4 linked regions of the Caenorhabditis elegans genome follow. The protein of the gene in region 2 purifies or fractionates together with the protein of the main gene of each other region. This does not show direct contact. Each region holds a gene or a part of one and is shown on either strand. Other genes may lie near its edges.

Region 1 (3,300 bases), 7.5 Mb from region 2:
CTTCAATAAAGTGGTAATTAAAAGTGTATCGTGGGTTCTACTTGAAAATGGTAATTTTTCAGTAAGAAACTTCAGGAAAAGTTAGAACAGCTAAGTCTTTCAAAAGAGAGCTTAATCTTCAATGAGCAAGATGCTCGACACTCGAGACGACTCCTCTCAAATTTGGAGCAGCTGATTTTTGTGGGTGGTGTGCCGAGAAGTGGGACTACTTTGATGAGAGCTATTCTAGATGCACATCCGGATGTTCGATGGTAAATTTAGAAAATTTCAAAAATGCGATGTATGCTGCGCTTGGCCAAAAGATCTTGAATTTCTTCTCCTTTAAAACTTTTAAACTCCGTCGAAACAAGGCTTTCTGAAGTCAAGACTTTTTCTTGACAATATGATACTTCTTATTCAGAAAAAACAAAACGTATTACTTCTGCTCACTTCAAACTTTCAGTGGCGGTGAAACCATGCTGCTTCCAAGTTTCCTTACATGGCAAGCAGGCTGGCGGAATGATTGGGTCAATAATTCAGGAATTACTCAGGAAGTATTTGACGACGCTGTTTCAGCATTCATCACTGAGGTAGTGCTCTTGTCACCGTGTTCATCTTTAATTGCAATTCATACAGATAGTCGCGAAGCACAGTGAACTAGCACCTCGTCTGTGCAACAAGGATCCATACACCGCATTGTGGCTTCCGACTATTCGCCGACTGTACCCGAATGCAAAGTTTATTCTGATGATTCGAGATGCTCGTGCCGTAGTTCATTCAATGATAGAAAGAAAAGTACCAGTTGCTGGGTATAATACGTCTGATGAAATTGTAAGGTCTCCCTAATGAAACTCTTGAATTTCTAAAGATAATTTGAAACATTTAGTCAATGTTTGTTCAGTGGAATCAGGAGCTTCGAAAAATGACTTTTCAATGCAATAATGCGCCAGGGCAATGCATAAAAGTATATTATGAACGACTGATTCAAAAACCTGCGGAAGAAATCCTACGTATCACCAACTTCCTGGATCTGCCATTTTCCCAGCAAATGCTAAGACATCAAGATTTAATTGGAGACGAAGTTGATTTAAACGAGTATGTGCTTTCTTCATTAAAACTTTTGAACTTCAACTATCTCTTAATTTTGCAGTCAAGAATTCTCTGCATCACAAGTTAAAAACTCGATAAACACTAAAGCCTTAACCTCGTGGTTTGATTGTTTTAGTGAAGAAACTCTACGAAAACTTGATGACGTGGCACCTTTTTTGGGAATTCTTGGATACGATACGTCGATTTCAAAACCCGATTATTCCACATTTGCGGATGACGATTTTTACCAATTTAAAAATTTTTATTCTTAAAGTTTTGCACTGTAACCTATAACTTTTATAGAAAATAAGATGTCCAAAGTTACCTACATCATAGATTGTTATTATTTTATTTTTATCTATAGATACAACTGTTAACCTACATCATTATCATTATCTCCCATTGTTTTCAGATAGAGGTCAAGGTAACTTTCTAATTCTCCACACTCTCTGCAACACTATAAAAAAGAATGCGCGCACGCACAAATGTCCACTATTCCGCCGGACACGGCTGCTTCCTGCAGCTGTATCGATTTTTCTTTTGTCGTTTTTTTCTTTTCGAACAGGATTTTTGAATGCATTCTTCTATATTTTTTGAAAAATAAAACTTGCAATTAATATACTTACAATTAAATACATGCTGTTGGATTTCTAGAAAATTGCTTACATTGTTAGTTAAATTAAATACTATGCATTATATTTATAAATAAAATATTTATTTATTATAACTTAGTACTTAGTACTTAAGTACTTAAAGTACAAAGTAGGGGAAAAAAGATCAGGAACTAGAAATCTTATGATTAAATTTTGATAGGCTAAATTATTAGAATTTTGTTTAACTTCAAACGATTAATTTTGAAACTAAATTCTTACTTTGAGGTTTTTTTAAAAATCATATTTTATGTCAAATCCGACTTTTACCATATACTACTCTAATTATATTACTATGAAAATGAGCATCCAAAATCTCAACAAGTTTCCAGATGAGCCGTGCTCTTCTTTTCTTCGTTCTCGCCATTCTGGCTTTGTCAGCCGAGGCACGTGGACCACGTGTCACTGACAAGGTCTTCTTTGACATGGAGATCGGAGGAAGACCTGTTGGGAAAATCGTCATCGGACTTTTCGGAGAGGTCGTGCCGAAGACAGTGAAGAATTTCGTTGAGTTGGCACAGAGAGCTGAGGTATTTCAGTTTGTTAATTAAATTCTGTAGACTTTAATATTTTCAGGGAGAAGGATACGTTGGTAGCAAGTTCCACCGTGTCATCGAAAACTTCATGATTCAAGGTGGAGACTTCACACGTGGCGACGGAACCGGTGGACGATCGATCTACGGCGAGCGCTTTGAAGATGAGAACTTCAAGCTTCAACACTACGGACCAGGATGGTTGTCAATGGCCAACGCTGGAGAAGATACCAATGGATCTCAATTTTTCATCACTACCGCCAAAACCTCATGGCTCGATGGAAAGCATGTGGTGTTCGGTAAGATCCTGGAAGGAATGGACGTAGTTCGTGAGATCGAGGCTACACCAAAAGGAGCTGGAGATCGGCCAATTGAGGATGTTGTCATCGCCAACGCTGGACATATTCCAGTAGAGAACCCATTCACTGTCGCCAGAGCAGGAGTTAATTAAACCTAATGATCTACGGGTTTTCCAATTAATATGTGTATTTTTGTTGAATGTACTATAATTACTTTCTAAAATTCTAATAAACGTGTTTTGTTTCAGTACTTGATTATACAGCGCTGTCAGGATGTGCTACGTTTTGGAACTTGTAATAGTATTAATAATTGAGCAACCTGACTTGCCAATGTTCGAAATACCAAAAACACTATATCATAACTTTGTGGAGTATTGGTTTCAATTCTGAAGTTGAAATACACTTCTAAAAGCAATAATTTATTCTCGATCCGTTCGTCTAACTAGTAAAGTATAAAGATTTGTACATTTGAAGACTCATTAGAATGGGTTGGGGCACGTTCCGGTATTGACAAAGACCGACTTCAGGTGAGTATAATGTTCGAGTACTGCTGTTCCGTTTTCACGTCCGAATCCTGATTCTCCGACTCCTCCGAATGGAACCAGTGGCGCTGAAATTACAGGTTCTTTTCTAGATCTAGTGGGATTCGGAGCAACTTACAAACATCATTATAGGTATTGACATAGACGTTTCCAGCATTCAACTGCTCAGATACTCGATAGGATCTTGAGAGGTCTCTGGAATAATGAG
Region 2 (3,233 bases):
ACTGGCCGCCCGCTGCTTTTGATTCATCGAGGTCCATCGGTATAGTTCTATTCATTGTAGCGTTATGCTTCGGAACTTTGGGAATCGTGAAAAGAACTGAACGATCAACTGACATATCCTTATCTTCTTGATTCGTTGTATTGAACATTGCTAAGGTATCATCCAGTGGCATACTAACAATTCGCTCGGTAACTTTTGTTGTGGTTTCGACGATCTTTTCGTATAATAGTGTTGGATCTCTTGTGGTTTCAAACAATCTCGCCGTTTCGTTGTTCTCGTTGATAGTTGTTTCGAGAGACATATCCATAGTTTTATCGAGATTACCACCGCCGAACACTTGAAATGAGGACGTGCAGGCCGGAGATTCGGAAATATCCATGTTTCCGCCACGTGGTCTTAAAAAGATTTTTACGTATTCATTATTTCACGTTAAAGGATGGAACTCACGTCAAAATACCATCTGATCCAATAGTGTCAGTAATCTTCTCCTTAACTGGTGTGGCGTCAAGAATTTTACCATGGTCCCTGTCATACTGCCTGAAATAATTATTTTATTGATAAATTATTCACTGACTCTAACTGACTTGACATGCTTCACGTTATGAAAGCTGACTCGTCGATTAGTTGTTGTGGAACTAGGCCCACTGTTCATGACGGTTTCCTCGATGGTTTCGACGGCTTGCCGCACCTTGAGAATCGAGTTCCGCTTCTTACGAGGCTCCATCGACATGGCTGTAAATATGTTTTAAAAATGGTAATAAATTATGATTAAAAAAATAACAAAACAACGGCAGCATAAACTTCGTTAAATGGGAAAAGTAAAAAAGTGAAAAGTAAACGAAGGCAGTTTTGCTTGGCGGCAAATCTCTGTTTGAAATTGAACTTGTACAATGGAGCGAAGCTGCACTCGACACACCACCGGTTCCGTAGAACGCACACTACGAGTAATTCCTTAACTTGGGGCAGTATAATACAATTTTAATAGTTTAAAAAACCAATTGTTTCAAAAATTAGATAAAATTCAATATTAATAAATAAATATATGTACCATTACAGCTGATACACATTGCAAAAATATTTTCTACGAAATTCGAATTCTCAAAATCCGTAGTTTCTCTTGTGAGTACTGTATTTAGATATTTTTTCAGGCAGATTTCAATTAATTTTTTTTTAACCGTTAAGCTTTATTCAACACATAGAGAATCAGGCGGTATCTCTCCAGTCAGGGAATTCTAATTTTATTTGCACTTCTGTTCCATCTGGTGTAGTTTTATCCAAGAGCAATTGACATGATTTCTGAATCAATCGAGCCAAATTGTGGTGTTCTACGACAGGCTCTAAACCAATACAAATTAAGTTCCCAGAATTTTGTGATTTCTCAACTTAAAGGCAATGGAGTTTGTGGTGGAGATTCTTCAGTGACAATTATAGTTTCCATGTTCTTCTCAGTTGCTGAGAACACATTAACTCGATTCTGGAAAAGTTTTAATGAAAATCTACGTAAAAATAAAAATTACCGGCTTCTTTTTCACATTGAGAAGTTCTGCAGAATACGGATCATCTGATGCGTTCCATTCCGATTCTGTATAATTTTGAAGCGCTTCTCCAGTTGAGCTTGGTGGAACTAAAACTTTTTATTAAAAAAAAAACCGAAAAGTTATATATATTACTCACGGCTTATAGAAGTATCAGATTTACTAGGATTTTCTTCCTTCTTTTTGTTGTCCATCTTGTATTTGAAAATGATTTGTAAAATACATTTCCATAAGTGAAAACTCAAAATTACGTGTATTGCATTTTTTTTTCGAAATCTTTTAATTAAGAAAAAACATCTTTTGAAAAGGAAATAATTTTATTCTTCAAAACGATAAAATCAAAATCAAGAGGCAAAAAATGGCAGAGCAGCAACCAAGCAAAGAAGAAAAGAAAGAAGATAAAAAAGACGAAAAAGAAGAGGAACTACCAGCACCAAGTGTTCAGCAATCTATTCGACAGTTGCCGAAGATTCAAATTACTGATGATGGTAAGGATGAAATTTCAATATTACACAGATGCGAAATTTTGTTAGTTTACGCTGAGAAGTACGGTGCCCGGTCTCGACACGACCGAAATATTTTTAGGCAGCGTTTTTAGTTAGAAAACAGGCGTATGGCTTTAAGGACTACAGTAACCCAACTCCAAGCTATTTTACAGTTTTCGCATCTGGACAATACAAAGTTTAATTTCCAGATAAGGGCGAACAGCTGCCAGAATGCACTGAAGGAGAGTGGGATGCCAGTGATGAACCGTTCTCAGCTGAACTTCTGAACGTCAAAAATGCTCCAGTAAATATTCAAATTTGTAGTAAATCCTTCTAATCATCCAATTTCAGAACAAGGTATCCGTGTTCAGTGGTCCTTATCGTTCCAAAGAAACCATTGAAAAAATCAAAAAGTTCAGAGCAGCAATGCCTCCTGTCATTCCAATCATTGACGAACGGCCAGATAAGCTGGCTCAAATGATGAGTCGTATTTTCAGTGAGATAATTGACGGACGTGATCTTTCGAAGATTAAGGTATTTTTCTTTATAAAGTAAATGACAAAGGAAATTACAAATTTTACAGGTGACAGTTAGCACACAATTGCCGCAATGATTGGATTTGACAATATGAGATCGGTTGTAAATATTGACCAATAAACAATTAATTTTCCACTCGTATTAGTTAATTTCTTTTAATAGTACGGCTCCCAACTCGAGTCATCCGCGGGTCCGAGTACTCCAAGTACCAGTAAGAATATATCGACAATCCACCAGATTCCAAATCCACCCAAAGTCATTAGTTTTCCGACAGCCATTGCAGAATATCCCAGGCAAAAACGGTCGACAGCAACCACACCGAGAAAAATGGAATACAGAAGAGTTGTGAGAAAGTAGTGACCATTGTATCTGAAAATATGAAATTTATATTTTTTCTGAATATACTTCAAAAATCATATAATCTCTTCGTAGGAGCATCTTTATTGTGTCAGTTTTAAATAATTTTTTTAAAATAAACCCCGGACGCGAAATTTTGCGACTTTTGCGGCAAGAGTACTGTACCACGTCTCGACACGCCTTTTTTGTTAAATGCGAATTTAAAGAGTACTGTAATTTCAAAATTTCGTCGATGTGGAACTTTCATCGATTTTTTAAATATTTTTGGTGAAAACTGATTTAATAAAATTTATTTATTTATTTATTTGCATGTATAACA
Region 3 (3,691 bases), on a different chromosome or scaffold from region 2:
AGATCCGAAAATTATGTTAGAGCCCTACGAACTCGCGAATGCCTCAATTAGCACAATGGAGCCATCGCGATAGGAACCCGGGAGGCATATATACTAGACAAATCCTACCGTATTCTCTGCAAACTTTACTTCAGCCTTCTGCTCATGAAGTCTCAAAAATTCTGTCTAATTGAAATTCAAATTGCCACGGCGCAATTCACGGTCATTTGAACTCACCTTGAACTCTCGCAGATTCTCGGAGAAAAACCGGAACTAAAGTTTTCTCGCGATCTTTGTGGTTTTGTGAAACAGAGAAAAAAAGAGTAATTGGTGTATTCAATTGGAAGAAATTGAATTGAAGATGAGATGGTGAAACATGGAGTTTTTGAGTTCAAATAAACAATTGATCTTCTTCATGTTTGTCTGTTTTCTATGTGTTTTGTGTATTTCATCTTTTTCTTTCATTCATTTAAAATTGTCTCATTTTCAATTCATTTCTCCCTTCCATGACAATTTCGAGGCCAAATTGAATTGAAGTTTGGTCGTACCTAACAGAGTATAAAAGAATGGCACAAAATGTTGAGAACGTACATCCAAACATCCTTTCTGTTTGTGATCTATATTTTTATCATGATATTTTGGTATTGTCACGTCTGGTCTCTTGTCACGGCCTTGAGAAATCCTTTAATGACAAGATCGTACTAGGTAGCATGTGATTTAGATTTACAGTACTCAAGTATTGCTATCCTAGGTACATAGATAGAAAAGTTAAAAGAATTATTTTTTGTAACTTGAAAAAAGGTAATTTTAAGATAAAGTTAGCATCTAGTGCTCGATCGGTTTCAGGATAGAAGTAAAATTTTGAAATTTTCTGTTAGTAACAGTTTCCAAAATGTGCCATGGATGCATGTTAAAGTAATTATTTTACAGCTTGAATTTAAAAATAGTGACTGATTTGTAGGCCCACTTCTATCGCGCCTGCCTTGTGCCTTTCAGTTGAACCTGACGAATACCAAAGTTGTACGGCAAGGGTTCGCAGATCATTGAGCACGCGGGAAGGTACGAGGCCGGCGCAGGCTTCTGAACTAACGTGATATTTCATTTGAGATTTTTTTAATAAAATTATTAGTTCCGTGTTTAATGGTTTCTCTATTAGACCAACAACTAACGGTTTTTTGTTCATTCTGTTTCAATGAAACGGTAACAAAACACCTGAAGATACTTTTTATTTCAAATCGGGTCATATCTTCTTTTAATTCAATTTTATTGAATTGTGTTCTGTCGTGTTATCTTATCAGTTTGTTATCGTTTCAAACAAAACAAAAACAGTATATAAACGCCGGGTAAGATGGAAGTTCACTGGCAATTCAGTGTTCTTGTGTAATTAACTGATTACCAGAATTTTAAATTTGTCTAGAAAAGCTCTCAGAATATGTATTTTTCAACCTGAATCTATCATTCTACAATCTCCTACCTTTTAGTCTAAACAGTAAATGCCTTCTTGCGGACCTGCAACGTTTGTGGAATAGGCATGTAGGTAGTCTAGTCATGAGAAGCTTTATCAGTTTTCATACTTCTTGGTTTGCTCTCATTAAAAAGTGATATGTTTCTTCAACTTTACCGTTGTATTTTACGCCACCTCAGACAAAGAAATTATATTTTCAGGTATGAACCTTCTACTATTTTCTGCCTTGATCTTGGCTACTTCAGCCGCCCATCTTCTCCCAAAGAAGTCTGTTGCAATTGATAAGAACTCGGTTCTTGTGCTGTTCGGAACTCGTCACGGAAACCGTCATCCAGAAGTTTTTCTCCAAGAGAATCCAAGAAGCTGGGGACATGAGGGAAATACTGAATTGACTTCAGTAAGTATTAATTATTGGAGTTTCTAAATGAAATCTAGTAATATTTCAGTTCGGAAAGCGTCAAGGACTTGGATTGGGAAAGGAATTGAGAAGCTTTATTGGAAATTTGATCTCTCGTAACTACAACTCATCTCAAGTTAAATATTACTCCAGTTCTGCCAACAGATGCCAAATGACTCTTCAGGTATGTGGCGAATTCCGAATTCAAAGTAAAATAATCAAAATTTATCTAACTATAAGTTGCCACATTGAAACAGTAAATTTTTAGACTGTCACTGCTGCTCTCCACGATCCAGAACAATGGGGGGATTGGGATAAGAAATGGTACGATCATTGGTCTCCAGTCCCATATGCCATTGATGATCCACTTCTTAGAATGTACGCTGTTAAGGAATGCAAAGGAAATGATAAGGGTACGGTTGTACTTGTATAATGTGAACATATAAATCCTGATTTTACAGTCTGGGGCCCAATCGACAAGGATTCCCTTCCATTCCTCAAGAAGCTCAAGACAAGCAACGCAGCTGAGCTCAAATACTTCTCTGACAACACCAAATGGAACATGGAGAATCTGGGAAAAGCTGCTGATTTGGCCGATAATCTCATTGAAATTGATCTCTACAAGGCTGAATATCCATCATGGATTAAGGCTCCAAAGTTGAAAGGATACACTTTCGAGAAGCTGAAGGCTAAGATTCTGGAATTTGCTGAAGTTCATCAGAACGCTTGTGCAGAGTACGGACCATGCGGAAACTTGATGGCTGGATATTGGCTTCAGAATTTGATTGATAAGGTTGCTGATGCTAACGCTGGAAAGGGACCACAAGTTATTGGATACGCTTCTGTAAGTTATTTACAACCTGTCAATATTAATGTGAAACCTCTATTTCCTGTGAAAAAATTATACAAATTTCAAATTCCAGCACACCGAAATCACTCTTTCCGTCATGAAATTGATGGGATACGTGAAGGATGAACTGACCACCTCCGCTGGATTCGTAGTTGAATTTAAACGTCTTCCAAAACCAGCTGTCCGTCTTCTCAACCATGATCCTAACCCAATCGATGATCATGTCATCTATCCAGCTGAACTTACTCCAAAACTTAAGAAATTGGCTGACAAGGATGGATTCATTCCATTGGAACAATTCTTCGCCTATGCAAAACAATTCGTAAGTTGGAAAAATAGGTTAGATTATTGTAACAAATTAACATTTTCAGTCCTTCTCCGATTGGAAGTCTCAATGCGACAAGGCTTAGATTCTTTGCATGAATTTATAATAATCGTTTGATTCGCTTCGTATGTACTAATGTAGTTACTTTTTAATAAATAATTCGAAAGTAATCAATGAAAATTGCAAAATAACGGAGAATGGGTTACTGTGCTCATTAAAGGGGTATACCTCGATTTGGAACTATTTTTGCGATGAAAATCGTTTTTTTTTCTATTTAAAAGATACGTGAAGCTCCATGGAGAACAAAAAAAACTCCAGACTGGAAACCGAAGTGTTTGGATATCGTCCACTTGATACACTGCAACTTTTTCCTCACGAGGGACGAGGAAAAGTGGTTTCTAGGCCATGGCCGAGTCCCCGACAAATTTCAGCGGCCATTTATCTTGCTTTGTTTTCTGTGTGTTTTCTTTCGTTTTCACCGATTTTTTTCCGTTTTTTCTTATCAAAACTAATAAATAAATATTTTTTGCAGATGCTAAAACAATTTCCAAGTGAAAAAATTGTGAGTTCAGTCGGCAAGTAGCGGTAAAAGTGGTCAATGTAATATGATGGATTACGGGAATAAAAAACCCAAACTTTTTCCCAAACATGATACATATGCTGTTTAGATGCTAA
Region 4 (4,365 bases), on a different chromosome or scaffold from region 2:
AAAACTCTGTCTGAAAATTTTGAAAAGTGTAAAAACTTTCGCAGTTTTCTATTTAGATTTTCAGTATTTTTGACTAATACTGAACATATTTTGGCAAACATCCCTGGTTTCGTTCAATAAGAATTTTGAAAAAGTGAGCTATAAGTTGAAATTTGTTAAAAAATTTTATCCGAAAATTTTGAAAAACGGCAATTATCGAATTATCGAGAAAATTCTCAGAATGAAATATTAAAATCTCCAGTTTTTTATGTGTTGGGAAGGAAAAAAGTTAAATTGTATTACCAAAAAAAAGACTCACTACAATAAAAGTTTATTAAACTCGATAATTGCCGAATTGCAGAATTCTCGAAAATTTTCGATTGCCGCCTGATTCCAATGTCAACAAGGCAGAAATATATTCCCAAGAGTTTAATGTTTGGGCCAGTCAGTTGTACATTTACAACTACATTATGCAACATTTCCTGTAGCGATTCGGTTTTTAGTACAAACATATAAACAGTTGACCTATTTAATTTCCAATTTATCCCACTCAAAGACACACCCATTGTTCTCACGAATCTTACATCATTATGATGACATTTATGGGGTTATTCAAGTAGTGTCGGAAAATTAAAAAGTGTAGAAAAATTACGTCACAACCTTATTCAAGTAGATAAAAACATGTATTTAAATACATTTGTGACGTCACAAATGTATTTAAGTACATTTTGCTACATTACTTGAATAACCCCATTATAGCCAAAAAACATGAGTTTATCTAAATAAACCATCTGTGTACGTGACTTTCATAACTTTCTTTTTGTTCCATAAAAGAGTCGTCTCATGATAACATCATACCCCTCCCCTCCTCTTCTTTTCCCTGTTCTCCGTCATTTATGCATTCATTTTGTTGCATGGCGGTTGTTGGTACACGTGTACCCCTTTTCTTATCATAATGATCAGCTTGCTAGCTTAGCGATTTATGTCCTCTGACTATTGTCATCTGAATTAGAAGATGTTTGGTATTTGTTATATTTTTGGATAGCTTTTTTTTGAAAAAAAAACATCAGTATTATTTGTTTGATAATTATTTGATAGCGTTGATTTCTCAACCCGAAATTGTTCACTTTTCAAAAATTTTGTTGGATTTTTTAATCTTCCAAATATTTGAAAGCAAACCAAATATAAAAACAAACATAAAGTTTCAAGTTTACTCGTATTTACTAAAAGTTATGGTTATTCTGAATTTTTCTGAAATACGAAATGAAAGGTACACAGTTTTAGTGAGGTGGGTCTCGCCACGAAACAAGTTTATGGTAGTACTTTTTATCATTGCGGCGGTCGCTTTCCTATTTTCCTAACTGTTCTTTTCGAAAATTAAATTTCCTTAAATCTTTTTTATCAAGAAAAACATTGATTTTAAAAGAATTTTCGTTTGAAAAAAACGGAAAGCGCGTTTACAACAACCGCCGAAAAAAGTGCTACCATAAACTTTTTCGAGTGGCGAGACCTGTTCAAATTAATCTGTGCGCCTTTTCAAAATTACGATATTACGAAACCATGAGTTCATGAGAATGCCTACTTTGTGGCGCGAAAGTAGCGGCAGCAGAGAGAACGTGCGGTGACGAGAGATTTAGGTGCCTTCGCTACGAGATATTCCCGCGCCAAAACGGTAGGCATTCTCATGATCTCATGGTCTCTTAATACTTAAATCTTGACCCATCCAACGGATTCTTTTGCAATTTTTTACACAAGAAATTCCAATAAATTGCTTTTGAGTTTAAAATATTCAAAATTATAACTTTAATTCATTTTTAAAAATTTAAATTTAAGTAAATTGAATCGCTGAATTGTTTTTAAACTTCAATCTCTCAGCATCATAAATATACTATTACTCTTCTTCTTTTTTTCTTCTTTTCCTGCAGGAATTCCTGCTCATTGTTCGAAACGTTTGTTTTTTGCGAAACCGCTACTCTATTTTTGCAGAAATCAATAAAACACACTAACCCTCTTCTCCATAAAATGGCAGCTCCCGGACGAAAAATTAACTTTGCTGCTGGTCCAGCAAAGCTTCCTGAAGAAGTTTTACTTAAAATGCAAGAAGAACAACTCAATTTCAATAATCTAGGAGTCAGTGTCATTGGTAAATTAAGAAATATGCGGATATTGTGAGAATTCAAGACAAATTTTCAGAAATGTCGCATAGATCGAAGGAATTCGGAGCTCTTCTCAATGAAACTATCAGTCTTATTCGGGAACTTATGTAAGTTCGATGTTTCTGAAATTATTCTGTAATTAGTTCAACTAGCTAGAGTGATGAAACTTGAAACATTGTGCACCAAGCCTTTTTAAAATTAAAGTGCAAAATGCTTCCATTCCTTCAAAAAAAGAAAAAGAAAACCCGGAAGTGGCATTTAATCTTAATAAAAATCTATTTGCAGGAACGTACCAGACAACTTTGAAATTCTTTTCATGCAAGGCGGCGGAACCGGTCAATTCGCCGCTATTCCTCTCAATCTTAAGGTATAATTTATGATAAGAGTGAAACACGTCTCTGATGGCTTTTGAGACTTCCCTAACTAGAAAAAAATGTTGTTTAAAACAATTTATCATTCCTAGAAAATGAAAAAAAAATCTTATGACTTGAAAAGTTAGGCAAATCTCAATATACCCACAATAAAAAATAAAATATAAAAATAAAGTTTCCTTTATAGGGTGATCATGAACACGCGGACTACATTGTGACAGGCGCGTGGTCTTCAAAAGCAGCAGATGAGGCTGGAAAATATATCAATGTGAAGAAGGTTTTTCAACCATCAAAACCGTATGTCACTGTACCAGATCAAGAGAATTGGGTTCACGATGAAAAAGCCGCATATCTGTATTATTGTGCCAATGAGACTGTACATGGAATTGAATTTACTCCAACTGCTCCAGAATCACATAATGTTCCATTGGTGGCTGATGTTTCTTCGAATTTCATGGCTAGACCATTTGATTTTAAAGATGTAAGCACAACTATGTATATAAAAATCTTTTAGAAAATTAGCCAGATGTTTTATCCTAATTTTACAAGATTTTGGCAAGAGAAAATCTTGTGAAATTACCAAATAAGTTTTATGAAAAAATCATTAACCTTTTTTTAAAAGTTTCATTTCAGCACGGAGTGGTTTTCGGTGGAGCTCAGAAAAACCTTGGCGCCGCTGGTCTTACAATCGTTATTGTTCGGAAAGATCTTATCGGAAAGCAACAAGCAATCACTCCATCTGTCTTCAGTTATAAAGAAATGATTGCAAATAATAGTTTGTATAATACACCACCAACTGGAGGTATCTACACAACAAATCTCGTTCTCAAATGGATAAAATCAAAAGGTGGACTTCAAGCAATCTATGAGCTAAACCTTCAAAAATCTGGAATGATTTATGATATAATTGATAATTCAAATGGTTTTTATCACTGCGCCGTTGACAAACGCTACCGTAGTATTATGAATGTTTGCTTCCGAATTGGCGGTCCATCTGGAAACGATGAACTTGAGGAGAAGTTCTTGAAAGGATCTATTGAACGAAATATGATTAGTTTAAAGGGACATAGATCAGTTGGTGGAATCCGTGCATCGCTCTATAATGCCATCTCAGTCGAGGAGACACAAGTACTTGCCACGTGGATGAATGAGTTCCAGAAACTCCATAATACTAACTAGTCGGGAGACACTATATTTTTCTTGTATTCTTATTCTGAATTTGTCTGTGATTTTTAAAAACCTTCATGTGCCTTTTTGATTGTTTGTATTTGAATTTTTAAAGTGATTTTAAGAACCAATAAATAATGGTTAACATTTTTTGTTTATTTAAAAAAAACAGAAAACTATGAAATTCCAATGACATCAATGTCTTCATCAAGAAAATCTTGTCTTCTCCTTTTTTTTGTTTCAGCAAAAATTGTCTTGCGTCCGTTTATAGTTCCTCCGGCCATTTTCATTACAAATTCCCGGGCTGTACGCTCGAATTTCGGCCAATCCTCTTTAGCAAGCCGCGAGATATTCGGTTGTGACATATCTTCCAATTGAGCAAGATTTCTACGTTCTGGAAGAGTTCATAATTTAATTTTTTAGTTGATATTTAGATAGCCAAGTAGTTTAAAATGTCTTATAAATGTAGAAAGAATTTACCAATATCATATTTCACATTTCGCATTCCTTCCACAATAAAATTATATAAAACTTCCAAATTGGATCGTCGTTCCCATTGAATTCCACGCATGTCCCACTGAATAATTGCAAAAAATTTAAATGTTTTCAAAATTAGGTTTTTAAACTTACGTTTCCATATTTCCCAAGATTCGGATGAAATATAAATGTGTGAAAACAAACTCTTGGAATCA

What was found.
Region 1: the proteins of C02F5.10 (region 2) and cyn-6 fractionate together in Caenorhabditis elegans (co-fractionation; one large-scale study listed by BioGRID). This does not show direct contact.
Region 3: the proteins of C02F5.10 (region 2) and acp-6 fractionate together in Caenorhabditis elegans (co-fractionation; one large-scale study listed by BioGRID). This does not show direct contact.
Region 4: the proteins of C02F5.10 (region 2) and F26H9.5 fractionate together in Caenorhabditis elegans (co-fractionation; one large-scale study listed by BioGRID). This does not show direct contact.

What each region holds. Positions count from the first base shown.
Region 1 is NC_003281.10:771,364-774,663, forward strand, and holds cyn-6 (Peptidyl-prolyl cis-trans isomerase 6), read left to right. Parts: upstream 1-2,050; coding exon 2,051-2,248; intron 2,249-2,294; coding exon 2,295-2,702; 3' UTR 2,703-2,796; downstream 2,797-3,300. Other genes in the region: tpst-2 (Putative protein-tyrosine sulfotransferase), read left to right, coding at 214-251, 443-569, 616-810, 866-1,074, 1,130-1,340; alh-11 (Aldehyde dehydrogenase domain-containing protein), read right to left, coding at 3,030-3,160, 3,211-3,287. UniProt on the Caenorhabditis elegans protein: PPIases accelerate the folding of proteins. It catalyzes the cis-trans isomerization of proline imidic peptide bonds in oligopeptides.
Region 2 is NC_003281.10:8,248,133-8,251,365, reverse strand, and holds C02F5.10 (uncharacterized protein), read left to right. Parts: upstream 1-1,884; 5' UTR 1,885-1,893; coding exon 1,894-2,023; intron 2,024-2,229; coding exon 2,230-2,324; intron 2,325-2,371; coding exon 2,372-2,554; exon of another isoform or gene 2,555-2,603; coding exon 2,604-2,633; 3' UTR 2,634-2,688; downstream 2,689-3,233. Other genes in the region: Outer kinetochore KNL1 complex subunit knl-1, read right to left, coding at 1-395, 448-537, 585-730; C02F5.2 (DUF5356 domain-containing protein), read right to left, coding at 1,204-1,337, 1,384-1,474, 1,518-1,624, 1,675-1,729; TM2 domain-containing protein C02F5.13, read right to left, coding at 2,713-2,926.
Region 3 is NC_003282.8:6,424,093-6,427,783, reverse strand, and holds acp-6 (Histidine phosphatase family protein), read left to right. Parts: upstream 1-1,644; 5' UTR 1,645-1,646; coding exon 1,647-1,841; intron 1,842-1,890; coding exon 1,891-2,025; exon of another isoform or gene 2,026-2,095; intron 2,096-2,109; coding exon 2,110-2,254; intron 2,255-2,302; coding exon 2,303-2,685; intron 2,686-2,764; coding exon 2,765-3,013; intron 3,014-3,062; coding exon 3,063-3,101; 3' UTR 3,102-3,184; downstream 3,185-3,691.
Region 4 is NC_003279.8:9,312,089-9,316,453, reverse strand, and holds F26H9.5 (putative phosphoserine aminotransferase), read left to right. Parts: upstream 1-1,965; 5' UTR 1,966-2,001; coding exon 2,002-2,122; intron 2,123-2,172; coding exon 2,173-2,242; intron 2,243-2,420; coding exon 2,421-2,502; intron 2,503-2,693; coding exon 2,694-2,987; intron 2,988-3,139; coding exon 3,140-3,685; 3' UTR 3,686-3,819; downstream 3,820-4,365. Other genes in the region: uev-3 (Ubiquitin-conjugating enzyme E2 variant 3), read right to left, coding at 3,850-4,067, 4,154-4,250, 4,304-4,365. UniProt on the Caenorhabditis elegans protein: Catalyzes the reversible conversion of 3-phosphohydroxypyruvate to phosphoserine and of 3-hydroxy-2-oxo-4-phosphonooxybutanoate to phosphohydroxythreonine.